4 linked regions of the Caenorhabditis elegans genome follow. The protein of the gene in region 4 interacts with the protein of the main gene of each other region in a pairwise test. Each region holds a gene or a part of one and is shown on either strand. Other genes may lie near its edges.

Region 1 (5,275 bases), 2.1 Mb from region 4:
TTGAAAGAATTAAGAATCAAGAAATTTTCCATCGATTTTTTGTATTTTTCGTTAAAACATACTCATTAATTCAAAAAAAAACTAAAATTAAAAATTAAAACGCACATTTAAATTTTAACAAATTGTGAGAAAATCTATGAAAATTCCACAGAAAAAAGTTGAAACTACAGTACTCTTTAAAGGCGCACACCTTTTCTAATTTAACAAAATATTATGTGCCGAGACCGGTTACCGTATTTTTGAGTAAAAAATTGCTACATTTAGATGCTGGGTGATTTAAAAAAGCATTTAAAAAGTTTTTTGAATCAAATTTTAAAAAAAATAATATGAAATTGAATTACAGGAATATTCTCCAACAGCATATAAATCATGTCTATCGCTTCAATGTAATCAACTTCTAACATCAACATCCGATGGAAAAGTCAAGTTGTATGATGCAAATAATTTCAACGTTTTGCAGACATATTCGGTAGGGAATATAGAATATTATTCAGTTAATATAAATAATTTCTAGGTCGGTTCCTATACCCGTCAATCATTTTTGGAGCACGGAGCACACTTGATTATGGCGCGAAGTTTGAAGCGTAATTACACATTCAGTGTGAGTAGAAACCATTTTAAGAAATTTCATAGGTCCCCCTATTTTCCTGAGAATTCGTTTTTTTTTTGCAAAATATGCAAAAATTCAGTGTTCCACTCTTTCCGTTTGTCTCTCTTTTTCGAGCACAAAAAATGAAAAAAAAAGCAAAGATGGATGTATATATTCGGAATTCGATTTGTCACAAGGCATTTTTTTGGTTTTTGGTTGCTTTTTTAGCACATTCTTGGACTCGGAAGAAAAAAAACCACATATCTAAAATTTTGAACGAACGAAAAACAGTGAAAATATGCATTAATTAGAATTTCAACCCGATTAAATTTCCAGATCTACAGCCCAGGAACACGTAGTCAGCAGTGGTGTGCTTCACATGAATTGGCCGCGGAGCCAGCCAAATTTGATTATTCGTAAGTTTAGTTGTTAGCACACAAAATTAATTGAAAAAATTTAAAAAAAACTTCTAAAAATGATAATTTGTAAAATTTTCATATTTTTCAGAAAATTTTAAATTTTCCAATTCTTCAAAATTTTGTAGGTTTAAGCTCTTAAAATTGCCAGATATTTTGGAATATTTTTAAAAAATTTGGATTTTCGAATTTTTAGAAAATTGGAAAATTCTTTATTTTTCGGCATTCCAAATTTTCAGAAAATTTTTTGCTTTTGGAATTTCCAACAAAATATAATTTTACGGCTTTCCAAATTTTCTAAAACTTTGAAATTTTTTGAATTCTTCAATTTTTATTTGTATTTTTCGGTTTTTCAAATATGCAAAAAAAACCGGTATTTCTGAAAAATTGAAATTATGCCAGATTTTTTTTTTGAAATTGACTAAAAATTTTATTTTTTCAGCCCATCATCGAGAACTCTGGCAATTGGCAATGGTGATAGCTCAATTCTGTTCTGTCTTCCAGCATCGGCTCCGGATCAAGAAAACTGAATATCTTCTCAATTTCTGAACATTTCCTTTGTGTATATACCAAATATCATTGCCATTTGATATGATCTCTTCTGAATCGATATCATTTAACTTCATATTTTATAGATTTGCATAATTATGAAATGTTTTGGCCCCTTTCCATGCTTCTTCCTGTTTAACCCCGTTTGGTGCACAGTTTAGCGCTCGCCCGCAAGAAAAACAATGGTGGAGCTCACCTGGAGCATCGTGTTATTTGTCTTTTGGCAAATACACAAAACAGTCTTCTCTCTTTCTCGGCTCGTGCTGCGTGGCTCATTTGCGTATATACTCTAAGGAGTTATGCATGGAACGTTTGGAACGTTTGAAGAAGAGAGCTCAATGTCTATGTCCCCCGTGTGCTCTCCGGAGACAAAGGGTTAGGCGGAGAGCAGCAATATGAGCATTTTGACAAGTACTCAAATATTTCTCCATTGTTTAGTTTCGAGATAATATGGTTAAAATCACAAAAGTTTCATGTTTACCGGAAAGATTTTCATAGTTAAAGTGTGCCATGCGGAGCCGGAAATCTAGAGAATTTCGTCGAAAATTTGAAATTCTTGGCAATAAAGTTATTATGGATCTTTTGAAATCGAGGCGCAAGGGCGCTCTATGGCACTCTCCGCCCCTAGACGTTGGGTCTCGTTAGGAATAGAATCCGGAAATTCGAATTTTAAATGTTTTTGTTGTTTTTAATGATTTTATGTCGAATTTTATGAATTTATATAATTTCGACATAAAAACAACGATAAATAATTAATTTCTCAGTGGAGCACATTTGCATTTCGACTTCAAAAATCGCATTTTTTTGCGTCCCTATAATAACCCCCTACTTAATATTTTTACCAACAAGATGTTTTGGTACACAAAAAGTGCATTTCGAGAACTAAATAATTGCTCCGAGAGCCGCGTTTCCCCTATTCACACTAACTCATTTTATCCAGTTTTGCATGTAAAAATCTTTTTATGCACAAAAAAACAACACGGGAGAGACGGAGAGCAAGATTTTCCTCTTTTTTCAAGAAAACTGAGCAATAAAGACATGAAAAGGCAAGGATTTATTTCAAAAATAGTTATTATTATACGTTCCAGAAAAAATTACGAACGTATAATAATTCGTAAAAGAATTAAAATAAAATACAAAAGACAATGTGTGAAACCGGGGAATTTAGGAAGGAAATAATGGGAAACGATGCCTACCTTGAAGGACAATCAATTGTACCGGAAAAAGACCAAAATGCATTATGAAAATGGAAAAAATGCAAGTGCGCTCTATTGATGTGTCAATAGTAGAGCGTACATGCATCAGATACTAAATTCAAAAACTAGAAAGGATTAGGAGATTTTCGAGAGTGAGAGAGATTCTAGACAAGGTTAACTGGAACTATAAAAGGAAAATGTAAAGACAATTATGTTCAAACAGAAGCAGTGGAAGATCGATTTGGGTTTTACACTTTTTGACAGTGTATCTTTTTTTGAATTAAACAGAGAAAATTTGTTACAGAGAAAGAGAAATAAAAAATCAGATTCTCACCCAAAATTTTCAAATTTAATTCAAGCGATGTGCTCTTCCCTTATGGAATGTTCCATCAGCATACGATCCAAGACTTTTTTCTTCTTTTCCAGCACATACTTTATCACAATCAACGACTCCGTAGAGAGTGAGATGTCCAATTGGTTTTGTGCTCATTTCACGTTTTGGGGTTGAAGCCTGACGTTTCAGCTTCTTCTGACGCTCGTGAAAGGCTTTTCCGTACTTTCTGGGGCGCTTCTCGAGGACAAAGTAGAAGGACCAGCTGGAAAATTTAAATAATTATTAAATTTGGTAATGTGTATTTATAAATGTTTTTGAAAAAAACTTTCCCCATTCCATTGAAATTTTTTGCAGAAAACCCCTATTTTTAAAGGTGGTGTAGCCATAATGGAGATTAAGCTTTAAAATTTTTTTTAATTGGTGTGAAACTCAGAAAACCCACAAAAAACATCGATAGAAAAAGAAGAAGAATTCTCCTTTTAAAAACTATATTTTCCAATTTTGGTTTATTTCTTTTTTTTTTTGGAATTCGCTCCAAAATGAGAATTTCTAGATTTTTACGAAACGGATCCCATTGGAAATCACAAATTTCGGAATAAAGATTAACCATTTTTTTGGTAAAAGTTCAATTCTTAAATATCTATCAAAAGTTGATAATTACATACTACTGACATAATTATTTTCCAACGCACACACACTTTCACTCACTCTGCCACTTTATGCGACCACGGACGAAGATACGTGCATCCTTCTTTATCATCCGGGAACCAAAACTTGTCTAATGTACAGAAGCCGCCTTCTCCCAGAATACATGTGTATGAGTGAAGCCTGAAAATTATAGTTTTTGAATTGTTATTAGAAATTGGAAATTGGAAAGTATTTGAATTTTTTGAACTGTTAGAAAGTACTCTTAAAAATATATTAGTTTTAAAAAATCCTGAAAAGAAAACGTGTGAATTCAAAAATAAATAAAATTTAGACTTTGCAACGTCAAATTCTGATAGCAAATTTTCAACAAAAAAATCATTACCACATTTTCACTAACTACCACTAGACGATGCCAACTAACAATCACGTACAAAAGGAGAAGTTTGCGGAGGATCGTGCTCTGTTGAGCCAACAGGTTAGATTCGGATTATGACAGTGATAAGTTAGAATTTCAGAACAAAGAATATGCGGAGAGTCTTGCCAAGGATATTGCAAAGAAAGAAGAAAAGGATAAAATTAGATTTGAAGCTGAACAGAAGGAGCTGAGGAAGAAAACCATTCAGGATTACAGAGAGAAGTTGAAAGGTAATTTAGAACCCATAGTTGCAAATAATGCAAGCTGGCCTATTCCAGGAACTGTATCACAAGGACCCCTCCGTCTTCTAGTACGATACCCCAATGGTTCTCGATTAATTCTGAGCTTCTCCCCATCACAACCGATGACTTCACTTTTTGATGCTATTATTTTGAATCCGGCGTGCCCTGACTATTTCTCGGTTCGAAGTGTCTATCCTCGTGCGGAGATTCATTGCTATCCAGCATGGTATCACACGATTTTCAATGCAGAATTCAAGGATGAAACAGAAAAAGGAGCAAATAATGTGGCGAAGGAGACGAATGAAGTAAAATGTCTAGAAACTATTCCGAATAACTCAATCCTCTACGTGAATTTGATTCAATGAAGTCAAACTCATCTTGACTATAATGCAGGGTATTTCATGTAGGCGCCAAGATGCCTAGCTGACCTTAAGGAGACCTTCACCTGCCTCGCGCCTTTAATGCCTTTGGGTGACGTGAGGCAGGTAGGTTCCAGGTAGGCTCTCACGCCGCGCCTGCCCATCACGGAAGACCTTCACTTAATGTATGCCTGATACATATAGAAATTCAAAAATAGCCAGACTTCAACCAAACTTTGGCAAGTTGTGGGCGAGAATTTTAAAAAAGTTCTCCATATCGATCAATAATTAAAATTTATTAAACTTGGCCAAGCTCTTGGGTTGAAGTTCATTGAAAATTTGCTAAAAGTTGGTTCAAAGTGTGGTGAGATGATTTGCATTAGAGAATGAAGGAAGTTTGGTAAGCCGTGAGCTAACTTGGGTGAGAAATTGGCAAATTGGCAAAACTTGGTAAGAAATTCCAAAGGGGAAATCTTGACGTAGAATCCAAGCTGAACTTCGAATAGATACTGGTAATCTTTCTCTGT
Region 2 (10,277 bases), on a different chromosome or scaffold from region 4:
TTTTTTTGCGTACCATTCCGGTGGCACTTGAGTCGCATCATAGTCGAGCCAAACTTTGTCGGGAAACTCGACCCAACGGTTGCGTGGCACGAAATACGCGTTATTCTCGTAGTAACGATTGCCGAAATTGTCCGAACCGACGAGTGTTCCGACGCGGGTCGCGTCCATTCTGAAAATTTGAGAAGATTTTTATGTAAATTGAGCGAAAATGGTGTAAAATTGGCCTAAAAATCATCATTAAAAAACAAAAGAAATCGGTGGCCGAACTTTTCGATTTTCTAGGCCACCATGTGAAAAGTTAGTCCCCATCGATTTTCGCTCGTTTTCAGGTGATTTTAAGCGATTATAAGCCCGCGCGGACTAACTTTTCACTCGCTGGTCTAGAAAATCGAAAAGTTCGGCCACCGATTTTTTTTTCGGTTTTTTATGTTTCTCCGGTCATTTTTCCGACGCGAGTCATTCGAAAAATTCAATTTTTCAACCGAAATTTTGATGAAATTAAGCGAAAATAGTGTAAAATTGGCATAAAACTCATTAAAAAAAAAACGGTGGCCGAACTTTTCGATTTTCTAGGCCATCAGGTGAACAGTTAGTCCCCCACACAAAATTGACCTGACGTATCGCGCAGGATGTCCAAATGAAATTGGGGGACTAATTTATCACTTGGTGGCCTAGAAATCCAAAAAAGTTCAGCCTCCGATTTCTGACAGATTTCATGACAAATTTCGTACATTTTTTGAATTTTTTAATACTGAAAAATTCAAAAAAAAAATTCGTGGCCGAACTTTTCGATTTTCTAGGCCACCAGCTGAAAAGTTAGTCCCCGCTGATTTTCGCTCGTTTTCAGGTGATTTCAAGCGATTATCAACCCGCGGACTAACTTTTCACATGACGGCCTAGAAAATCGAAAAGTTAGGCCATCAATTTTTTGATGTATTTTTAAAAAATAAAATTCGATTGTTGTAAATCGAAAAAAAAAATTAAAAATTTGTCAGAAATCGGTGGCCGAACTTTTGGATTTCTAGGCCACCAAGTGAAAAATTAGTCCCCCAATTTTGTTTTGACATTCTGCGTGATAGGTCAGGTCAGTTTTGTGTGGGGGACTAACTTTTCACCTGATGGCCTAGAAAATCGAAAAGTTCGGCCACCGATTTTTTTTTCGATTTTTATGATTTTCAGGTAATTTTCGACCGTTTTTCTTCTAATTTAGTGCATTTTCAGCCATTTTTCCACCTGAAAACTTACAAATAACGCTTCTTAAGCACCGCTTTGACACCTCCAATCTCCTTGACCATTTGGCCAAACTTTTGGATTTTATCGATTCCCAGCCACGCTTTCAGGGACATCTGTAATGTAAATTTGGTTGGAAAAATGGGAAATTTTAACGGAATGTGGGGAGGAAAAACCAAGCATTTTGTGAATTTTTTCAAAAAAAAATTTTTTATAAATTTTTTGGCGAAAAACTCCATATTTCCTGTGAAATATGATATTTTTCGAGTTTTTCACTGAAAAATCTTGAATTTTTTGAAAAAAATCAGGGAAAAATCGATTTTTCAGTGGAAAATTGGAACAAAAAAAGTGAATTTTTACATTTTTTGAAAACTTTAAATTTTTCACCAAAAAATCGCAGAAGAAGGATTTTTCTCTCTGAAAAATTGGGAAAAAATCTGAAAAATTCAAAATTTGACTTTAAAATTGAATTTTTAATGGAAAATTTGTAAAAAATGTGCATTTTTCACTAAAAATTGAAAAATTCTGAAAATCTGGAAAAAATAAAAAAAATATTTCAGAGCTTGAAAAACTCGCAAATTCCAAAACAAAAAATCAATAAAAATCGCCGCAATTTTTCACAGAAAACGGTGTACTTTTTTTATGCATTAAAGTGTGATAGAAGAAAGAAAAAAAACGATATTGGGAAATGGGGGGAAAAAATCAAATAATTTAGCGTAAAATACAGGTATTTTCAGGGAATTTGAGAGGTTTTGGGGGGTAAAAACGAGTAGAAATTCGAAATTTTTTCAGATGAAATTTTCAATTTTCAATTTTCCCGCCAAAAAAGCAGCGTCAGGAATCTCCTCAGTTGGTGGTGGGCAAGATTTTCACGGCGACGACCGAATTGAGCACATTTGCATCCTTCAGAGTCTGTGATTCGTCTTCAAATGGTTTTGGAGGGTAGGCAGCCATCATTTGGAATGGAGCGTAGATCATATCTGGGCGGGCGCTGGAAAATCAAAATTTTTAAATTAAAAAAATTTGAGTTTTTTGAAAGAAAAAACTAGAAAAATGTAATTTTTTAATTTGAAAAATGTAATTTTTTAATTTGAAAAATGTAATTTTTCTATCACTGTGTATATCAGAAAAATATTATTAAAAAATAATTATTCATTGGAAAATTTCGAATTTTTCAGGCTAAAAATGTGATTTTTAGATGATTTTTTTATTTTTTTAATTCGAAATTTTCTAAAAATCTACTTTTTCTAGTGAAAAATGAGAGTTTTTAATAGCTTTTTCCGGCTGAAAACTCACGTGCAAATGAATGTACGAACTGCTTCAAGTGTGTGAGAATGATTAAAAATACCGACGAGACGCTGATTGTTTGGCAGACGGATTTGGATCTGAAAATTTTGTTAAAATTAATCAAAATATCAGGAAAGAAGCCACAATTCGACTGAAAATCTATAATTAGAGCCTGAAATTTTTTTTTTTCGAAAAAGTAGATTTTTCTCCGTTTTTTTTGTGTTTAAAATCATATGAATTTTGTAGATTTTTATCGATTTTTTTTTGCCAATTTTTATTGATTTTTTGAAGGATTTTACGACCTTTTTGTGATATTTTTATTGATTTTTCACGTTTTTTTCAGGAAAAAAATCTGATTTTTTCCCAGAAAATGAGCGTCGGAGAGCAGAAAAGCGTCCTGATGGTGTGTTTAGGTACGGTTTTTAGGTGAAAAATAGGTGGCCGAGGTTTGGGTTTCTAGGCCAGCAATTTTTTATTTGGAAAATTGACGAAAAAACGGTCAAATTTGCGCGAAAAAAATTGGTGGCCGACTTTTTAAAACAGTTAGGCCACCGATTTTTTTCGGGTTTCCCATCGAATAATTAGTAATTCAGCACATTTTTGTGAAAAATTGGAAGAAAATAAAATTTTAAAAGTCGATGGCCGAACTTTTGAATTTCTAGGCCACCAACTGAGATGTTAGTCCTCCACAAACGTCTTCTTGCCATTTTGAATTGTGTCTAGCTATTTTCAAATGGGCTGGACTAACTTTTCACTTGATGGTCTAGAAATCCGAAAGTTCGGCCACCGATTTTTTTTCCCAATTTAAGCGAATTTTTGAATATTTTATTATCAGAATCATTTAATTTTAGAGTGTTTTTGAAGCTTATTTTATCCGATTTGAAATTTTTCAGAAATAAACTGATTCTGGGATGTTTTTTCTAGTGTATAATTGATAACATATATTTAAAATTTAATTTTCAAAAGTTTGCAGTTGATTTTAGCCTAATTCTACTGAATTTTTTCTTTGATTTTTCTTTTTAAAACTGCCAATTTTAGCCGGTTTTCCTCCAAATTTCACAAATTTTCGCTCCAAAACCGTACAAACTCCGTACATTTTCCACTGAAAAATCGATTTTTCCGATTTTTTCCGAGCAATTCAAGATTTTTCAGTGAAAAACTCGAAAAATATCATATTTCACAGGAAATATGGAGTTTTTCGCCAAAAAATGGCGAAAAAAATGTTTTTTGGTCAAATTTTTTTCCCCCACATTCCGTTAAAATTTCATATTTTTTACTGAAAAAAAATCCCATTTTTCCAACCAAATTTACATTACAGATGTCCCTGAAAGCGTGGCTGGGAATCGATAAAATCCAAAAGTTTGGCCAAATGGTCAAGGAGATTGGAGGTGTCAAAGCGGTGCTTAAGAAGCGTTATTTGTAAGTTTTCAGGTGGAAAAATGGCTGAAAATGCGAAGATAAACTATCAATAATGACCGGAAAAACATAAAAATTAAATGAAAAATCGGTGGCCGAACTTTTGGATTTCTAGGCCACCAAGTGAAAAATTAGTCCCCCAATTTTGTTTTGACATTCTGCGTGATAGGTCAGGTCAGTTTTGTGGGGGGGTCTAACTTTTCACCTGATGGCCTAGAAAATCGAAAAGTTCGGCCACCGATTTTTTTTTTCGATTTTTATGATTTTCAGGTAATTTTCGACCGTTTTTCTTCTAATTTATTGCATTTTCAGGTCAGTTTTGTGGGGGGACTGAATTACTAATTGCAGTTGATTTTAGCCTATTTCTACTGAATTTTTTCGTCCATTTTTCTTTTAGAACTGCCAATTTTAGCCGCAGTTTTCCTCCAAATTTCCAAAAATTTTCGCTGCTCCAAAACCGTAGTACAAACTCCGTACATTAGTCGTTGGCTCATTCATATTGGTGCTCAGCTCCTTCTTAGCATCTTCCAGCTGTTTTGCCTCATTTTCAGCAGTATGATCCGGGTTATGATCAGTTGTTGCAGATGATGTCCCAGCAGTGGTGGCAGACGACGATGATTGTCCCAAAACTGTTGGGACAACATTTCCCAAACGGACTCCACTACCGCCGAATGGCTTCATCTTCGGAGCAACGTACTCCTCGTGGTGGCGGTTCACTTTGAAATCGATTTCTTTTCCCGGATATTGTTGAACAAGTGATGGAGGGATTTCACTGAAAAAAAACAAAAAAAAAATAGAAAAATTAGTGAAAAATGGATTTTTTGGCACTTTTTTCGGTAAAAATTGGAGAATTTTCAATTTTTTTTTCGTGAAAATTCATCACAATTGAGTTTTTTTTCAACGAAATTTGATTTTAAAATCGGTTAATTTGTAGAAAAATCGATTTTTTTGCTAAAAACTGAGGAAAATATTGGAAAAATTTGAGTTTTTTGAAAAAATGGAAAAAAAGTTCCATTTTTTTTGGGATTTTTCTCGAAGAAATTGGAGAATTTTGAGCCAATTTCAACATTTTTTCGTGAAAATTCATCAAAATTGAGTTTTTCCAACGAAATTTGATTTTAAAATCTGCAAATTTGTAGGAAAATCGATTTTTTTGCTAAAAACTGAGGAAAATATTGGAAAATTTTGAATTTTTTTTAGTGGATAAAAATGCCTTTTCTGGAATTTTTCCGACAGAAATTGGAGAATTTTCATCATTTTTATGTGAAAATTCATAAAAATTGAGTTTTTCCAACGAAAATTGTCATTTAAATCAGCTAATTCGTAGAAAAATCGATTTTTTTGCTAAAAAACTGATTAAAATATAGGTTTCCTCGGTTTCTTAACAATTTACAACTGAAACAATGCGTTTTTTGCGATAAAATGCTAAATTTTCAGGCAAAAAACCGAGATTTTCTCAATTTTTATGTGAAAATTGATTAAAATTGGCATTTTTGCACAAATGTTGATATTAAAATCGCCGCCAAAAATCGTTGCAAAATCAAAATTTTTTTGGCGTTTGCTGAAAATAAAATTAAAACTATATGAAAAACTCAAATTTTGGACTAAATTCTACATGAAAACAGCTTAAAAGTCCCAATTTTAAGTAGAATTTTGCATTTTCAACGATAAAATCATGATTTTCCTGCCAAAAAACCGATTTTTATGTGTAAAAATTGATATTAAAACGGCTAAATCGCTAGAAAATCAATTTTTGGCTGAAAATTGGCATTTCACAAAAATTATTTTTGGGGAATTTTCAAATTTGCAGGGAGAAATATCGGAGATTTTTGGAGAAAAATTGGAAATTTCATGGTTTTCTGTAAAAAATTTTTTAATGTGAAAAAAAATGAATTTTTTGGCACTTTTCTTGAAGAAGTTCGAACATTTTTAAGCCATTTTCAACATTTTCTATGCTAAAAGTTATAAAAATTGAGTTTTTTTCAACGAAAATTGCTGTTAAAAGCGACTAATTTGTAGAAAAATCGATTTTTTGGCAAAATTTTGAATTTTTTGAAAAAAAAAGATAAAAATTCCATTTTCAGGAATTCTTCCGACAGAAATTGGAGAATTTTCATCATTTTTATGTGAAAATTCATAAAAGTTTTTTTAAACGAAATTTGATTTTAAAATCAGCAAATTCGAAGAAAAGTCGATTTTTCTGCTAAAAACTGAGGAGAATAGTGGAAAAAATCGAAATGTGAACAATTTTCAAGAGAAAATCGCTGAAAATCAGCTTAAAACAGTGAAAAACATCAATTTTAAGCTAATAATGCCCAAAAATAACTTAAAAAATGCAATTTTCAGCTGAAATATTGCATTTTTAGCATCAAATTTTTAAATTTTCGGCCAAAAAATCGAGATTTTCTCATTTTTTAAGTGAAAATTAGTTTAAAATGAAGATTTTTCACATATTTTATTTGTTAAAATCAATAAAAATCGTGGGAAAATCGATTTTTTTTTTGGCGAAAACTGGACAATTTCCAGGTAAAGTTTGCTGAAAATAGGATTACTATGAAAAAACTTTGAAAAACTCAAATTTTGGACTAAATTCTACATGAAAACAGCTTAAAAGTCCCAATTTTAAGTAGAATTTTGCATTTTCAACGATAAAATCATGATTTTCCTGCCAAAAAACTGATTTTTATGTGTTAAGAAAAAATCTTGTATTTTGTATTTTCAGTGAAAATTGGATCGAAAATCTTGATTTTCTCGTCAAAAAAATCCAATTTTCTCTCGATTTTCTTCAAGAAATCCTCCATTTTCCGTCATTCCGTACCCTTTTCCGACGCTTTCCAAGAATTCAATAGTTCTGGGGTCCTGGCGAGACATTAACGGGCCGTCTTCGATCGATAAGCCGTCGGACCACAGGTGAAGCGTTAGGCTCTGCAAAAAAATATCGATTTTAAAGCAAATTCGCCGCGCAAAAAATGAGCAGAAATCAATGATTTTCAGCTATTTCAGCAGCCCACCGCGGCTTACAATAGTTTCTCTCCCTGACGGGCGTCCTCTTGGAGCTTCTCCTCCCTCTGGCTGAACCACTTCGGCGGCCTGAAGGATTCTCCGAATGTGGGCTTCACTATCCGGGCCTCGAGCAGCAGCTCCACGTGGTCCTTGAACTGCTTGTCCGCTGAAAAATCCAAGTTTTAAAAAATTTTAATTAAAAAATCTAGGAATTGCGGCTACCTTCCAGCGTAAAATTCCTGTGGGGCTCCTCTCTCGGCGGCATCGGCTCCTGAATCGTCGCTGTCCGGCCCCCCATCGTCGTTGTTTCCAATGTCACGAAACGTGCGAATACTGCAAGTAATTTATCGATTTTTGAGGTTGAAAATCGCGGGCGACACTCACTTTCTGCTCATTTTTTCCGGGGTTTTGTGGTGGAAAATTGAAGGTTTTCACTGTAAAAATATTAAATTTGAGAAAAAATGAGTGAAAAACAAAAAAAGAACGACGAAAAACCGATGGAAATAGGAAACAAAATAATAATGATAAAACGCGCCGAGAAACGCGCCAGCGCGTGCGGGAAGTGCGTCAGCAGCCGCTGTTGACGCAATTCTTGTCGGGGGCACGTTTCCAGCAGCGTCCAAATTCTGCGAATTGATAATAAATCAACAGTTTCTTTGGGGAAAAACTTAAAAAACAATTGTGAACTGAAATTTTACCTGAAATCGAGGAAAAATTCTAATTTTTCTGAGAAATCACGTCTAAAAGTGGATTTTGATAATATATTTGAAATGTCTTTATTTTTAATATTCAAAATTTTACTCAAAAGCATCAAGAAACCATCAGATTGAAAAAAAATCCCACTGACTATGAGAAAAAAAAATTTAAAGTCGGTCCATTGGCGCACTTCTCGTGCATCGCGTGGAAAATTGAGAAATTACCGAAAACGTTCAATTTACTGTTTTTCTTCATATTTTTTATAACATAAGCTTTGGTGGAAGATTACTTTTCAAATATACATCAATTTCCACTAGAAAAATGATGATAAATATACGAAATATGAGAAAAACTCAATTTTTAGATGTTTTTTTCTTTTTATATCATCGCTTTTATTTTTGAACAAAAATCAAAAATCTTTTTTTTCCTTCACCTTACCCTCAAGTAGCTTTACAATTGATACGTAATTAAAAAGTTTGAAATCGATTTCAAACCCATGAAAACTGAAGGAAATTACTTTTCAACGGCAAAATTTTCCCACGCTCACGAGAAACGCGCAAGCCCCCTGTTGTTGGGTCATTTCCACGTGAGGAGGCTGTGAGTCGTTGTTTTGAACGACAAGTTTTAAAAATCTGCAAATGGACTAATCAAAATTATTCTTGCATGCAGGTATTATACGGTAGCTTCATTCCTTTACACACATCATGATCAACCCAAGTTTCCGCAAATGTTCCGAAACTTTAGAGCCATCCTACTCCAAGTCAAGTAGGCTACGTGACACAGGATACCGATTTATTCCTGTAGTTTCAAACCATCATTTGGTTTTTGAACTTAATTTGACAATTTCAAATTGCTCGGGAAACCACGGGATCCTTCACTGCAACTTTTTCCTTACGAGGGACGAGGAAAAGTGGTTTCTAGGCCATGGCCGAGGGGCCGACAAGTTTCAGCGGCCATTTATCTTGCTTTGTTTTCCGCCTGTTTTCTTTCGTTTTTCACAGCTTTTTCCCGTTTTTTCTTATTAAAACTGATAAATAAATACTTTTTGCAGATGCTAAAACAATTTCCAAGTAAAAAATTATTGTTGTGTATTGAGCGAGTGACAAGGAGAGAAGAAGTTTATTACAAGAGAGTGTAAGAAGTAATGAATTATAAAGAGAGGTCGCTTACGCGATAAGTTCATGATGACCGAAAGGTCACGTCTGTATAAAGTTCCAACCTCCGCCTGCCTCTCGCCACAACCCGCTTCTTATGCTAACTAGTGATTTGATATTTATCAAATTTATAGAAATGAGAAAATTATATAATAAATTTGTAAATTCACGTAAAAATGCAAACAATGAGCAGGAAGGCTGGCGGGCAGGTCCCTGAAAACGCGCTTGCCTACCATGGAAGTTGTTTCCTATTGTGACCTACATCTTTCCCGCTTGCTCTGTTGTCCTCTATCCCTCTATAAAAATCAGGTGATTGTGAATTAGAGTTTTCTACTACTTGTCTACTACAATCTTCATAAAACAAAACGGAATAGATGTTAAACATATTTATTCAAATCGGAAGAAATTTAGAATGTAAAATTGTTAGATACAATTGAATGGTATTTAGGGGGAATGAGTCTCGGCTCAAAATTCATAACTATTTTGTTGCATAACGATTGATTTGACAACGTGAGAACGTATATAATCAACCACGATGTAATAATCTTTTATTTTACTGTAATTTCAAAATTCTCGAATCACCAAATGTTCCAAGAAACTTCCCCCAGGAGACATCTCACAAAAACACGAAGCATTATTGTTTTCGAATCTCTAACTGTAATCTTACATTTTATTCCGAGTTGATAGTGAGTAAATTTTACCCATCAAACTCAGATAAAAACCTGCAAAGAAGTAAAATCAGTAGAGTTTTTTTGATTATCATAAAAGATAAAATCTGTGCTGCCAGCTGAACGAAATTGCCGAATAGTATACATTTTCGCAATTTCCAATCTATCAATATACAGGGTGCGCCAAAAGTATGGTAACACGTGAAGCGCTCTTTTACATGAGCTTTTCGCGCGACTGCCACTTCATACATACAATTTTCTATAGAATACTGATAGCTGAATAAATTTCCTTCAATTTGACCTAAAATTTGTAATGTTTCCCAATAAGGTGTAACCTTTATCACCTCGGCAATTTGACGAACCCTTTCGGCAAAACAAAAAAAAAGTTTTGGCACGCGGCACTTCCCACACAAACGCACATCCCACGCACGCCAATAATTTTCAGATCTATGATTTTTATGTTAAATTCAAAGTTAAAGAAGTGAAGAAGCGTTTTTAATTGTTTTTGTAGTATTTGAAAATTTTCTGTATCGACACTGGCGCCTAGAAAAAACCTTTGAATATTTCATGAATTCAACTTTGCGAAAATTACTCAGTTTTTTTTGTCTTCACAAGGTGTAACGACCCACAAAATCATCCGAGCTTAATCTTCTATTAAAATTCTTGAAAGTCAGATCAAAACGTTCCCCGAAAAATACTAAAATGAGTTTTCCTGCATACTGCTGCCGCCGCTCACATCTATCTTTCTGGCGACTGTGTCATTCAAGGCTTCTATGTCATTCAAACTACTGCCACAGTCATACCATGACAGAACTTTTTTGGA
Region 3 (6,070 bases), on a different chromosome or scaffold from region 4:
CACTCAAGTCCTCCTCCCAACCAGCCACGGAACCTCTTCAGGCACCAGAGCCTGTAACACAGGATTCTAATCCTTTGGAGACAGTTGGAGCATTAAACAGCGGATCCCAGACCGACAACAACGGAATCGGTGGCCCAGCTGGCGCAGTCATTATTGGGGAGCGTATTGCCAAAATTGAAAACTCATCGGAAGGAGTTCTCTTTACTTCTGAGTCGGTTGCCCTTGACGCCGGGACGGTCGAGTCCGCTGTCGAATTTGCAAGAATTGACAACATTTTGGACTTTCCTAGCCTTGAGGTCGCAAAACGTGATGATGATGATGCCTCTGCTATATCTACAGTGGCTGCATCCAATTCGGAAGCCTCACTCGTGGCCAGTATCCCGAATGTTTTCAAAGTTGAGAACATCGTGGTAAGTTACTGATAATGAAACAAGTAACATCTTCCTAATTTTGAAACTTCAGGAACCTCCACAAATGACAATTATGCGATGGGAGGGGTTTGAGTACCGAACAAACCGCAGGTACAGGACCGTCTGCAAAAAGTGTGAAGGGCTCCAGCGCCTCAAGTGCAACCACATTTTCGAGTTGGATAAGCAATCCAATAAAAGAGTTGCTTCGCAACCAATGGATATAGATGCAAAGCGTCCGAGGACTTCGCATGGAATAACTATCAGCCTGTTCAAGGACTGCACAAGGGTCCCATTCAAGGCCCAATTTCCAAAGAAACTTGAGGATAAATATGGGTAAGTAAATAATTATATACTTTTATTTTACTATTTACATATTTCAGAGTCAAATTCACCAAAATTGAGCACAGCAACATGCCGTTCAATGACGCGTCGAGATGGTGCTACTTCAATTTGGAAGTGTCAGAGGAAGATTTGGCGAAACTCCCGATATTGGATGACTGGGTGAATAGCTTCAAGGTCGGGAGCATCAACAAGAAAGCGGATCACTTTTTTCACCGAAATCCTTCCAGAAGAGTTGATTTTGATCATAGTTATGGCTACTCATTTGGATAATAAAAGCAAGGAGCCGTCAATGCAAGCAATCGATCTTATCTACGATGAAGATCACATGTTCGCAGCACTCCACGACGACGCTGCCGTTTCCAAAGTTGGAGAAGTAAGTTTTCTCGTTATTGAAAGTTGGATTATTTTGCTTTTTCAGGTATGCTCAAGAAATGCGAAAGCATTCATGCTTCGTAAGTGGAAGGAGCTCAAACCTCCTGGAGTGAGAACTCCGACAAAGAACTGATCCACCTCTTCAATCTTCAACATCCAGCCATTGTAGGCAATTATGGTATTTTATGTTTGTATCCCAACTCGTATAATTTGTTTCTCCGTTCTCTCGATTTGCTTCAGCTATCCTACTTTCTTTTTTTTTGTATTTTATTCGATTCTTTCGCCGTATCAATAAATTAGTATTTATTTTAATGATTTTTTGGTGTTGTAGATGTAATTTTTGTATTGAGACTTGACTTTTTCCTGCAGAATCTTGACTATTTTCGAGTGATCTTTTGTGAAGCTATCGACTATTTGGACCTTTTTCTGCAAAAAATAGAGTTGGCTTTCAAAACAGCATTTTCTCCAGGTTTTTTCATTCATAGAAGTTTGGATAAGAAACCACTCCACCCATCACTGACATCGCTGAAGGTTCATCAGCTTCATGGCCGAGCTCCTTGAATATTGAATTTTTCGATTCAACAAAAAAATTTCAATTGAAAAAGTCCATTTGTGTGTTTTCGGAAGCACAGACGCTAGCCAGAATTTATGATCTAAACAAGTTCTGCAATTTTTTAAACCTTACAAGGCATTTTTGTAACAAGTGAATAGTTCTATAATATTAGTTATTTCATTTTTTTCTCCGGAGATCTCCTTCAATTTCATCTCTGAATCACACTTATCAAAGAATAATATATTCAAATAAATTTATCCTGTACAAAAAAGTGGCGATGAACTTTTACAAGGTTATGTGAAGTGAAAGATGTTATTCATAGCACAATTGGCCAGATTCGAGACATTAACGGGCTCCTCTCAGTGTTCGATTGCCTCCACGGAAGACATTTGACGGTTGTCCTGCCTTGCTGGCTTCTTTCTCTCGGAGCTCTTTTTCGAGAACATCAACACGTTTATAATCATAACGAAGGAATGAAACACGACCTGAAAATCATAAAATTTAACTTTTCAATTATTTTGAAATGTTTATTTCAGATGAAACAAGTATTACCTGGTTTGTAGTCTTCATTGACAACCACTGGTGGAATAGCTGGCAAATCATTCGCCACTGGAGCTGCATTACTCGTACTAACACCGGTTCCATCTGAGAGTGATACTGAAGATGATGGCTTCTTCTTTCCATCGAGACGACGCCCAGCTCCTCCGAATACAGAAGTTGCATTTTGTCCTGTCCCTCCACTACCACCAGCTTTTTGTCCAGCTCCAATAAATGCGGATGCATCTGGCGCAGGCGGCTTGGCAGTGACAGCAGGAGTCACCTGTCTCGGTTGTTCAACGTAGCCTTCTGGAGGATCGAAATCGAGATTAACATCACATTCAATGATGCACACAGAGTTGGCCGGTTTCAAATCAACGACGAGGAATTCGAGAGTTTGTCCAGCATATGATGTTGGGATCCGATCGTTTTTGGTGAGGCATGCATATTTTCGAAGTTCCACTTCAAGAACAGCTCTGAAAAATAGAAAAATATAGGACTTTGTTCAAAAACTTCAAAAAATTATTAGAGTTTATGAAAACTCACTTTGGATTAGTAATATTCAGAAACTCGAGTGACATCGGCTTCAATTTAGCAAACGTGGCTTTCGGAAGAGTTGCAGACTCAATGCGAATGGTATCTCCATCGTCAAGTCCCAATTGCTGCATCATCCAAAGTGGCAGAATGGCTTGTCCTTCTGGAGCAGAAAATTCAAGAACACCGCAATGAGTTACACGTTGAACAGCCATATTGGTTAGCTGTAAATTTTAATGGTTTTCTAGTTACTTCAAGCTATACAAAACAAACCTTGAAAAGCATTGGCATCGGAATATTATATTGCATGAGCAAGTTGAGAGCAGATGACGGCAGAAGAATCTTTCCACCATAATTGATTTCGCTTATTTTTGACTGTGTTGCATTGGGAAGGAATACGGGCCCATATACCTGAAATTTAATTGTTTATTAACGCTGAAATATAATCTTTGAAATCCAATTTATTATTTACAATGAGATCGAAATGACGAGTAGTTCGGCGAAGTTGTTGTTGAAAAAAGTTTGCAAACATCTTTCGAAATGAATTTTAAAAGCTCACCACAAAAGTTTGATCATAATTCCCGACTCGGCCGCCCATCTGCATCCCGTGAAGTCCTTGTTGTATCCACGCTTGCATTTTTATTTTTGGTTTTCTGAAAAGTTATTAACGTTTTCTTCAACTATAATTCAAAAAATACAAAGAGGATGAGCCAACCAAGAAAAGAGAGCTCATTGATCATTTAAATATTTAACAAACTGCAATTTATTATAGAAAGAAATTACTAAAATGCACGTGTGAAGGAAACTTGACAAAAATTGAAGAAAAACACAATGAACAACATGAAAAAGAGAATGCGTGAATGGATGATGATATTAAAACCGATTCCTGCAACGACAAACGCGCTCCGTTGAACAAAAAAGAAATGGAACAACGAGAAAACCGAATGTCGTGTACAGATTTTTGTGTGGAAACGCGCAAAGATGTAGAGGGAAGAATTTAACCGTCACAAACAACGCGAAAAAACACTAGAAAGAACAGGGTATAAATGAATTATCGAGCTGAATGCCAGAAATCATGAAGAGAAGTCAATAAAATGAAGAACGGAAAAAAAGGACGACAAAAAATGAAATAGCATATAAAATTTCAACAACAAATGGAAACAAAATGTATAGAAGGATGGATATGATGATGGGAAAGAAAGAACATTATGAATAATTATAATTATAATAATAAAGTTAGTGAAAAGGAACAAGAAAGTAGGAATTCATCAGATGAAATGGAAGGAAAACAGAAACTTTGATAAATTATGAAGAAAATTGATCATTTTTGTGATAACAGATGATCACATATCGAATGGCTCGTCCATGTCTTGTTCGAGCCCGGTTCCGTAATATCGATCACCAAAATTGCCCATTCCGGGAATCAGATAGCAATTTTCCGTCATTTGGTGGTCCATTGCGGTGGTGATTAATTTAACCTGAAAATTAATAATTTTTAATTCAAATAAAAAATTGTAAACCTTCGGGAAGGCATAAGCCAGTGCATGTGCACCTTGTTGACCCATAAGCAGAGATGCAACAAATATGTCTTCCTCTTTAACATCATGATCAAGAAGTACACGAATTGCCATCATCGCAGCACTCCCAGTAGTTACGGTGGCGTCCATAATGATAACTTTGTATCGAGTTATGTGTGGTGGCAAACGTATATAATGAAGTTCTGGATCAAACGTCGTCTCGTTGGTTTGAATCAAAATTTTTCCGATCACGCAGTCCTTGACGATTGAGCGAAGAGCAGTCTCCATACATTCGCCGGCTCGCATGATTGGAAGACCACAAATCTGAGCGTCCTTTCGTTTGCCAATAGTTCTGAAATAAAAATTAAAGTTTCTAGATGGTTGAGCCTATTTTAGACGTTTTCAATTGTTTAGTTTTCAAGTTTTATTTAGAAAAAGTTTATTCTTATATTGGAAACAATAGAACATTAATATCCGAATATCCGAAACCAAGATCTGAAACTTTGCAATTCTTAAGCCGAAAATACGGTAGCCGGTCTCGATTCGACAGATTTTTTGCTGAAAGAGCGCCTTTAAAGATTACTGTAATTTTAAATTACTGCAGAATTTTTATTGATTCTTTGTAGTTTTTCTATAAAAATTATTTCTGTATTAAAAAACTTGATTGAAACCATAAACAAAACTTAAAATAAAACAAAAAATCCGCAGTGATAAGAAATTGAAACTACAGTACTATTTCAAGGCGCACACTTTTGTTTAACAAACATTTGTCGTGTCGAGACCGGGTACCGTATTTTTGCAGTCAGATTCAGAAATTTCAGAAAGGTTGGCGCTGATTTCAGATTTCAAAAAGGAATTTTCAAATCTTGCAGTGACCATTTTTCAGTTTCAAATTTACTCACTTTCTACCGCCGGCCATCTCAATCTCAACATCTTTGTAAGGCATATGATTCATGCATTCTTCAATAAGAATACGCATTAATCGATCAGAATAGAAAATATGATTGTCTCTACTCGTTTCTCGATCACGAACAAACGTGACAAGACCTTTGACCTGTGGAGTTTCTTTTAAAATGAACAGGTTTTCCGGCAAACAATCCGGTAGATCGTCGCGAACCAAATCGTGACGATCACGGTTGTTCTGATTGCGATCGTATCCGCGTTCAACGAGCTGTGCCATCACGTTCTGCACGATCATGTCGATGGCGACGTCGTTCTCTCCACCGCGCGGAACGATGAGATCAGCCGAATCCATGCATGGTGCAATGTATTTGTCGAACGCCGGCTGCAACTCGAAAGTTACTTGAGACGACGAGTTACAACAATTCTCTTACTTTTACAAATGTAAAGTACTGCTCCATGATGCCGTCGATGTCACGCCCACGATCAGTGACATCCCGAACGATACGACGAGCTAGACGAAGATCTCCATCCGTGTCGACGAACACTTTCATGTCCATTAAATTCTTGATACGCTCATCATGGAACGCGAGGATTCCTTCGAAAATCAAAACGTCAGCTCCATACATCATCTGAAAAGCAAAATAAAATAATTCCATCTGCAGTTTTTTTCCGAAATTGCTAGTAATTTCACAAGATTCCCATTTTTTCGGAACAAAAAAAAAGGATATTTGTAACAATTTTTACATAAAATTTGAAGAATTCGGCAAACTCGCTAAAAATGAAGTAAGTTAATTGAAAAATGAAAGGAAATCGAACGAGGAAGTGCTGAGACCCATCTGAATGAAAAACAGAATCCTGTGAAATTACGAAATAATAATTATAATTATAGCAAACCTTCGAAT
Region 4 (7,417 bases):
ATTGTGTCATCATTTCACATTTTCATTTGGATCACTGTGGAAGTTTGCCTCATATGAGCGAAATTGTGGGATACGACGGACCAATTTACATGACTTACCCTACAAAAGCCATTTGCCCAGTTTTATTGGAAGATTACCGAAAAGTTCAATGTGACATCAAAGGCGAGACAAACTTTTTCACCTCAGATGACATCAAGAATTGTATGAAAAAGGTTGTCGGATGTGCACTTCATGAAATTATTCACGTTGACAACGAACTTTCTATTCGTGCATTTTATGCTGGACATGTTCTTGGAGCTGCAATGTTTGAAATTCGACTTGGAGATCATTCTGTTCTATACACTGGTGATTACAACATGACTCCAGATAGGCATCTTGGAGCGGCGAGAGTTCTTCCTGGTGTTAGACCAACTGTCCTTATTTCTGAGTCAACATATGCGACCACAATCCGTGATTCGAAAAGGGCAAGAGAAAGAGATTTCCTTCGAAAAGTTCATGAATGTGTGATGAAAGGAGGAAAAGTAATTATTCCAGTCTTTGCCTTGGGACGAGCGCAGGAGCTGTGTATCCTGCTTGAATCATATTGGGAGAGAATGGCTCTCAACGTACCAATCTATTTTTCCCAAGGTCTTGCAGAACGGGCAAATCAGTATTACCGACTTTTCATCAGCTGGACCAACGAGAACATTAAGAAAACTTTCGTAGAAAGAAATATGTTCGAATTCAAGCATATCAAACCAATGGAAAAGGGATGTGAAGATCAACCAGGACCTCAGGTTCTCTTTTCTACTCCTGGAATGCTTCACGGAGGTCAATCGCTCAAAGTTTTCAAAAAATGGTGCTCAGATCCTCTGAACATGATCATTATGCCTGGTTACTGTGTCGCTGGAACAGTTGGAGCAAGAGTTATTAATGGCGAAAAGAAAATTGAAATTGATCAAAAGATGCACGAAATTCGACTTGGTGTGGAATACATGTCGTTTAGTGCTCATGCTGATGCTAAAGGAATTATGCAGCTTATCCGTCAATGTGAGCCTCAACACGTCATGTTTGTGCACGGCGAAGCTTCAAAGATGGAGTTCTTGAAAGGAAAAGTGGAAAAGGAGTACAAAGTACCTGTTCACATGCCAGCAAACGGAGAGACTGTAGTGATTTCTGCTCAACCGAAGCTTGATATACGAGTTCCACTTGAGGTTTGTGTGTTTCTAAAACAAATTGAACTCAAATAAAAAATTCCAGAAAATTGACAGAAGCCTAAGCCTCGATCCGAATCCTGCCAAATCGGAATGCCCATTTGTCGCCGAGCTCGTTTACGATCAAGAAGTAAGATTATTGAACTTTATTTTGCAATAACTTCAAATAATTTTAGAATGAACGACTGAATATCATGTCTACAGCAGAATCAGAAGATTTGATAAAAGATAAAAACTGCATGCCGATCACTCTCTCATTGTCAGAAATCATCAAAGGCAAAAAAGTGAATTGGAAGGAATTATCAAACGAGCTTCTACTCTATGATCCACACTTGCAACTAAAAGACGACGGCATTGAAATGTTTGATGGAGAAATCACTATTTTAGCAAACAATTCTGATGAAACAGAGCTTGAACTGATCTGGGACGAATGCCGTGAACAGTGGTTCAAGGTTATCCATAAAGCCATCACTGATCTCATTTCACCCGAATCCTCCCCGGTCCCTCCTGCTATCTCTGTTAAAGCATAAGATTTTAACAAATACTTTTTACGGTTACGATTTTTTTACTTGTAAAAGTTGGAAATAAATTTAACATTCATGAGAACATTTGATACCCTCGCAAGGATGCATTTACAATAAATAGAATAAAACAATTTTAGCGAAATCTAGTTGTACAGGTCATCATCGTCATTTCCACCGGAGCCACCGTTTCCTCCAACAGGTTGTCCAGCAGAAGGAGCTTCTCCTGGGAACTTGAAGTTGTTTCCAAATCCACGAGATTGTTGAAGAGTCTGGGCGAACATCTCGTATTTTCTGATATCGTTATCAGTCACGGAACGTCTAGCGAACTTCATTGCCTCCTCGAAGTGTGCTCTAGTTATTTCTGGAACTGGGTCAGCCAGTTCATCCTCCATAAGTTCTTCTCCACGAGCACTTCTGTCCTGACGCTCCTTTTCCTGACGAATTTCCCGTTCAATTGATTCACGAATGGCAAGCTTGCATGCTCTGAAAATGGTATTAATTGACAAATGCGAATATTTTTTTAACTAATTTTTATAACAAACCTTTGGCAAATTTCGGTTAAGTCGGCTCCCGAAAAACCGACGGTGTTCTTGGCAAGGAAGTTCAAATCGAGATCGGCGGAAAGGGGCGTTTTGCGGAGTGAGGCCTTGAAAATTTGAAGTCTAGATGCTTCGTCAGGAAGAGGAATGTAGATCAACTGATCGAGACGTCCTGGACGAAGAACAGCTGGATCAATGATATCAGGACGATTGGTAGCTCCAATAATGAACACGTTTTTCTTGGCATTCATACCATCCATTTCAGTGAGAACCTGGTTGATAACACGATCGGCAGCACCTCCAGCATCTCCTACACTTCCTCCTCTGGCCTTTGCGATCGAATCGAGTTCGTCAAAGAAGAGAACGCATGGAGCGGCAGCACGAGCTTTATCAAACACGTCGCGAACATTAGCTTCGGATTCTCCGAACCACATAGTAAGAAGCTCGGGTCCCTTGATGGAAATGAAGTTAGCCTGGCATTCATTGGCAATCGCTTTAGCGAGAAGTGTTTTACCGCATCCTGGTGGACCGTAGAACAAAACTCCACGAGATGGTTGCATTCCGAACTTGAGATACTTTTCTGGATGCTCTACAGGGTATTGAACGAGCTCCTGAAGTTCGCGCTTGACGTTTTGAAGACCTCCGATGTCGGACCAAGTAGTATTTGGAGTTTCCACAACGGCTTCGCGAAGAGCAGATGGGGATGATTTTCCCATTGCGAACTGAAAAATGATTAATGATACGTCTCTTAAGTGCAAAAAAATGATAACTTACTCTAAAGTTCTCCATAGTGACCGCCAAAGAATTGAGAACTTCAGCATCAATTGTATCATCCTCCAAATCAATCAGCTCCATCTTTTCGCGAATTTGCTGAATAGCAGCCTCAGAGCAGAGGGAAGCCAAATCAGCTCCGACAAATCCGTGGCATTCGTTTGCAACTTGTTCCAAATCAACGTCTTCTCCTAATTTCATGTTCTTGGTATGAATTCTGAGAATTTCCAGACGGCCAACAGCATCAGGGATTCCAATGTCAATTTCACGATCAAAGCGACCGAAACGACGAAGGGCTCCATCAATAGAGTTAGGACGATTAGTAGCGGCGATCACGACAACATGAGCGCGAGTTTTAAGTCCATCCATAAGTGTGAGAAGTTGCGAGACGATACGCTTCTCGACTTCACCGTGAGCCTTTTCTCTCTTTGGAGCAATCGCATCGATCTCGTCAATGAACAAAATAGCAGGTGAGTTCTTCTCACACTCGGCAAATGCTTTACGAAGATTCGATTCCGACTCTCCAGACATTTTAGACATAATTTCCGGTCCGTTAATGAGGAAGAAGAATGCTCCTGTTTCGTTGGCGACAGCTCTTGCGATCAGTGTCTTACCGGTTCCTGGTGGACCGAACAGAAGAATTCCACGTGGTGGTTTCACTCCGATAGCCTTGAAAAGTTGGGGATGGCGAAGTGGGAGCTCAACCATTTCCTTGATCTGAGCGAGTTGTTTACGAACACCTCCGAGATCATCGTATCCAACTTCATTGAGAGCCTCCTCTTCTTCCTCTCTTTTAATTGGATCTCCTTCATAGTGAATAACAGTATCTGGAGCAACAATACACGCCGGAGCAGGATCCGTCTCGACAACTTTGAACTCGACAGTTCTCATTGCAGCTTGAACAGTGAATATGTCTCCCTTGTGCACTGGGCGGTAGGCGTCGGTAAAGTATGGCCGAAGGAAGACATCAAATAGATTTCTAAAATAAAAAATACAGTCTTTATTTCTCCGTGGCAAGAACATACCCAGTCAATCCCTCGATTGTGTCATCAATTGGAAGAACATGAACCCTTTTTCCATATTCGAGTTGAGCACTTGAGATACTGACAACGTCTCCAAGACGGCTTCTGAGGTTGTTTCGAACCACTTTGTTCATCTTGATCTTGTCATTCGGGCAATTGTCCGCATTAAGAACGATAGAGACAGTCTCTCTTCGTTTCTTTCCTTTCAAAATCACCGAATCTCCACGGAAGAGTCCCAGCTCGTCCATTTTGGCCTGTGAGAGCATGACCATGGAGTTGTCGTCATTGTCAGACTGATCGATAATGAGTCTGTTTGGGCGTTTTTTGTCCTGAAAGAGTTAATTATATTGAAATGATTACCTTGGAGAAAAACCTACTTTCAAGATAGCCGTAGCCAGCTCATCATTCTTCTTTTCCTTCTCGTCTCTCTGAGTCGGAACTGAGGCCATGGTTAAACGACTTCTCTGTAAAATCTTGGAATAATAAAAAAGAACGGAAGATGGGGGTAGAACATAGGAAAGGCCGAAACGCGAAAGTCTAATAAGAAAGTAGAACACGGACAAACTTTTCTACAGTAGGTTTTCAAGATAAAACTTCAAGTATAATTTCTGATCTAATTCAGTTAAAGAATCGAATCAAAGAAGAGATGCAAAAAGAGCCAATAGAACAAAATTAAGAAATATGGAAGATGAGACACGTAGACTAAGTTCTCTACAGAACACCCCAATGCTGCCTCTACATGATGACAAAACGCAGCCTCTCATTCACACTCTCTCCTTGGGGCGCATTTGCTTTCGAATAATTTCACAAAGCGTTCTACCGTTTTATTCGGGTCATAAGTAATAATTACATTGTTAAAAATATATGTGAACCAGCCGTCTTTAGCGGAACAGAAGTTCAAGGCGAACCTAAGTGATGTGACGATCTAGAAAGCTAGAGGTAAATATCTCGTTCAAAAACGAAGACATAATTTGAATAACAAGGAGACGAATTCAAAGAAACGTACGATATGAGTGATATTTCAGTGGTAAATTTCCGCAGTTTCCGCAGAGTCAGTGGTAAATTTCCGCAATCGCATAAATATGGAAAAGATATTATACGGCAAAGATAAATACGATAACACACTCTGGTAATTGTTTAACAACGACTGAGATAGCGAAAACCTCCCAGCAACTGTTTAAAACATAATTATTTATAATGAGCAATGCATTGCGCAATGAGAAAACAATTTCTAGAAGAAAAAACTGTTCGTTAAACGTACGCGCTGCTTTTTTTGTTCGAAGGAGCGCGTTTGGTGTTCAGAGACTTGACCGTTTTTTGGAGTTCAGCTATTTTAGGAATCCGATATCTGGAAATAACTGAGAACGCCTGACTTTTATTACAGGAAATAATGATTTTAACAAAATGGCCAACCAGGAAACCACATAATGTATAAAAATTATCAAAAAAAAGCATCAGGTTTAAGACAACTTCATTTTTTTTCAGCGAATCTGCTTCTGGAAGAAACTTCTTGCGGATTCGTGGTGTCTCCCGCTTTACAAAAATCTAAAGTTCTACAAAACGAAACATTAAAACAGTTTTTTTGAGCTTCAATCCATGTTTTTTTTTAAGTTTTCGATAGTGTTTTATTGTTTCAGTTTCCCAAATTACAAATTAAATTAAATTTTTTTGGAATATTTAATTTTCTTTAAAATTCACAGTGTATTGTTTTCCTCATGTAAACTGGATTTTTGGTCTTTTATCAATAAAAATTATCGATGATCTGAACGATTTTCTGAATATTCCGACGCATTAAATAAAAAATGTGTATATATATGTTTTCAACATGATGTTTCCCTCGTTTGTTTACAAAAATTCCAACCTTCCCCCGTTCTCTCGGTCAATCATTCGTTTTTCACTATTTTGCTGTTTCTCTTTTTCTCGCTCAATTTATGTTATTGATTCATTTCAATGCCAAAACTGATGATATAAAGCGTCGTTTTCTCTATTCACAACTCCTGTTTTATATTTTGCTTCCATTTTTTGAAGTATAATTGTTTCCAGAATGATATAATGAGTTTCCCGGTGGCATTTTTGCTCGTTCTCTTCTTGGTTCCATTCACATTTGCGACAAATAATTTAGTTGTTAGACAGAAAGAATTGGAAATTGTAATTGGAGGAGAAGTCTCTGTTAATTTCCAGATCAAGTGAGTTATTAATAATATTTTTCATCCAACAGGTTATAAAATAAAAACAATCATACGAACATGTGCTGTATTCAATCAATATAATTTTCAGAAACCACACATCACAATCATTGAACGCAACACGTATCTCCCTCTCGCAGTCACCATACATCTCCCATCCTGATGCTATTCTCGTTGACAATTGGAATGCTAATGTGACAGTTTTAGGAAGCCAATTGGTGTCCGGAGCTATTTTAGAAGCTCTCAATTGTACTACAGATGGGTCAATTACTTGTCCTCTGGAGTGAGTCGATGATTATATATTGTAAAAATTAAATCAAAACTCATTTCCAGTCTTGAAGATGCGTTTGCTAGAATCACAGTTATTCGCTCTCACTTTCTTGCCATTTTGATTCAAATTGTTGGATGGACATACTTCTTCGCATGGAGTATTTCGTTTTATCCCCAAATGTATCTGAATTTCAAAAGAAAAAGCGTCGTCGGGCTAAACTTCGATTTCTTATCTCTGAACCTTGTCGGATTTTGTGCATATGCTATTTTCAATCTGTTAATGTATTATAATAGTCATGTAAAGGTGAGAACTAGAAAATAAATAACTAAAATTAATTCATCTTCTTTCAGAATGAATACAATATTGTGAATCCTCGGTCACCGCCACCAGTACTTTTGAACGATGTTGTGTTCGCTGTTCACGCATTTCTTGCCTGCTTTATCACAATTCTTCAATGTTTATTCTATGAACGTGATAATCAGAGTGTTTCTTCAAAATGTATCGCCCTTATGATTGTGCTGATCTCTTTTGGATTCTGCTCCGCTGCCGCCACGGTTCTCAGGAAAATTCAATTGCTCTCGTTTGTGACCAGTTTGTCGTACATAAAAATGGCTGTAACCTGCTGTAAATATTTCCCACAGGTTTGTTTCATATTGTCCATTTGTAAACAGTATTCTAGCCTGAAATTATTTTTTATTATTTTTAAATTACTAGTTTTTCCAAAAAAGTTTTCAAAACTTGACCGCGAAATTTTGCGCCAAAACTACGGTATCCGGTCTCGATACGACAGATTTTGTTTAACTCAAAAAGTTGTGCGCCTTAAAAAGTACTGTATCGTCATCAAAAATTCACGAAAAAAAGCTGGGAAAATGATGTTTTATCGAAAACATGTTAATTTAAATTATAATTTT

Evidence for each region.
Region 1: the proteins of cdc-48.2 (region 4) and ubxn-5 interact in a two-hybrid assay, tested with the Caenorhabditis elegans proteins (2 studies listed by BioGRID).
Region 2: the proteins of cdc-48.2 (region 4) and ubxn-2 interact in a two-hybrid assay, tested with the Caenorhabditis elegans proteins (3 studies listed by BioGRID).
Region 3: the proteins of cdc-48.2 (region 4) and ufd-1 interact in a two-hybrid assay, tested with the Caenorhabditis elegans proteins (2 studies listed by BioGRID).

Annotation. Positions count from the first base shown.
Region 1 is NC_003280.10:10,233,333-10,238,607, reverse strand, and holds ubxn-5 (UBX domain-containing protein 5), read left to right. Parts: upstream 1-4,109; 5' UTR 4,110-4,141; coding exon 4,142-4,207; intron 4,208-4,247; coding exon 4,248-4,377; intron 4,378-4,425; coding exon 4,426-4,754; 3' UTR 4,755-4,775; downstream 4,776-5,275. Other genes in the region: F-box/WD repeat-containing protein mec-15, read left to right, coding at 344-469, 515-601, 926-1,005, 1,448-1,535; pugs-6 (BPTI/Kunitz inhibitor domain-containing protein), read right to left, coding at 3,100-3,346, 3,793-3,912. UniProt on the Caenorhabditis elegans protein: Probably acts as an adapter for ATPase cdc-48.1 and/or cdc-48.2, conferring substrate specificity. Unlike other UBX domain-containing protein does not bind 'Lys-48'-polyubiquitinated chain.
Region 2 is NC_003282.8:2,718,489-2,728,765, forward strand, and holds ubxn-2 (UBX domain-containing protein 2), read right to left. Parts: upstream 7,332-10,277; coding exon 7,321-7,331; intron 7,270-7,320; coding exon 7,159-7,269; intron 7,103-7,158; coding exon 6,955-7,102; intron 6,859-6,954; coding exon 6,752-6,858; intron 4,706-6,751; coding exon 4,411-4,705; coding exon of another isoform or gene 4,342-4,410; intron 2,616-4,341; coding exon 2,527-2,615; intron 2,222-2,526; coding exon 2,077-2,221; 3' UTR 1,825-2,076; downstream 1-1,824. Other genes in the region: ndua-12 (putative NADH dehydrogenase [ubiquinone] 1 alpha subcomplex subunit 12), read right to left, coding at 14-169, 1,246-1,346. UniProt on the Caenorhabditis elegans protein: Ubiquitin-binding protein which acts as an adapter for ATPase cdc-48.1 and/or cdc-48.2, conferring substrate specificity.
Region 3 is NC_003282.8:12,327,490-12,333,559, forward strand, and holds ufd-1 (Ubiquitin fusion degradation protein 1 homolog), read right to left. Parts: upstream 3,402-6,070; 5' UTR 3,386-3,401; coding exon 3,308-3,385; intron 3,287-3,307; exon of another isoform or gene 3,281-3,286; coding exon of another isoform or gene 3,221-3,280; intron 3,160-3,220; coding exon 3,022-3,159; intron 2,973-3,021; coding exon 2,761-2,972; intron 2,691-2,760; coding exon 2,230-2,690; intron 2,163-2,229; coding exon 2,023-2,162; 3' UTR 1,919-2,022; downstream 1-1,918. Other genes in the region: F19B6.3 (FLYWCH-type domain-containing protein), read left to right, coding at 1-410, 463-743, 791-1,022; F19B6.1 (Uridine kinase), read right to left, coding at 4,092-4,226, 4,269-4,617, 5,168-5,550, 5,600-5,797, 6,063-6,070. UniProt on the Caenorhabditis elegans protein: Functions at a post-ubiquitination step in the ubiquitin fusion degradation (UFD) pathway. In association with npl-4.1 and/or npl-4.2 and ATPase cdc-48.1 and/or cdc-48.2, involved in the cytoplasmic elimination of misfolded proteins exported from the ER.
Region 4 is NC_003280.10:8,135,592-8,143,008, reverse strand, and holds cdc-48.2 (Transitional endoplasmic reticulum ATPase homolog 2), read right to left. Parts: upstream 4,514-7,417; 5' UTR 4,499-4,513; coding exon 4,427-4,498; intron 4,379-4,426; coding exon 4,053-4,378; intron 4,007-4,052; coding exon 3,031-4,006; intron 2,979-3,030; coding exon 2,260-2,978; intron 2,201-2,259; coding exon 1,861-2,200; 3' UTR 1,779-1,860; downstream 1-1,778. Other genes in the region: ints-11 (Integrator complex subunit 11), read left to right, coding at 1-1,193, 1,240-1,323, 1,370-1,723; ctns-1 (Cystinosin homolog), read left to right, coding at 6,102-6,235, 6,327-6,518, 6,569-6,809, 6,857-7,147. UniProt on the Caenorhabditis elegans protein: ATP-dependent chaperone which probably uses the energy provided by ATP hydrolysis to generate mechanical force to unfold substrate proteins, disassemble protein complexes, and disaggregate protein aggregates.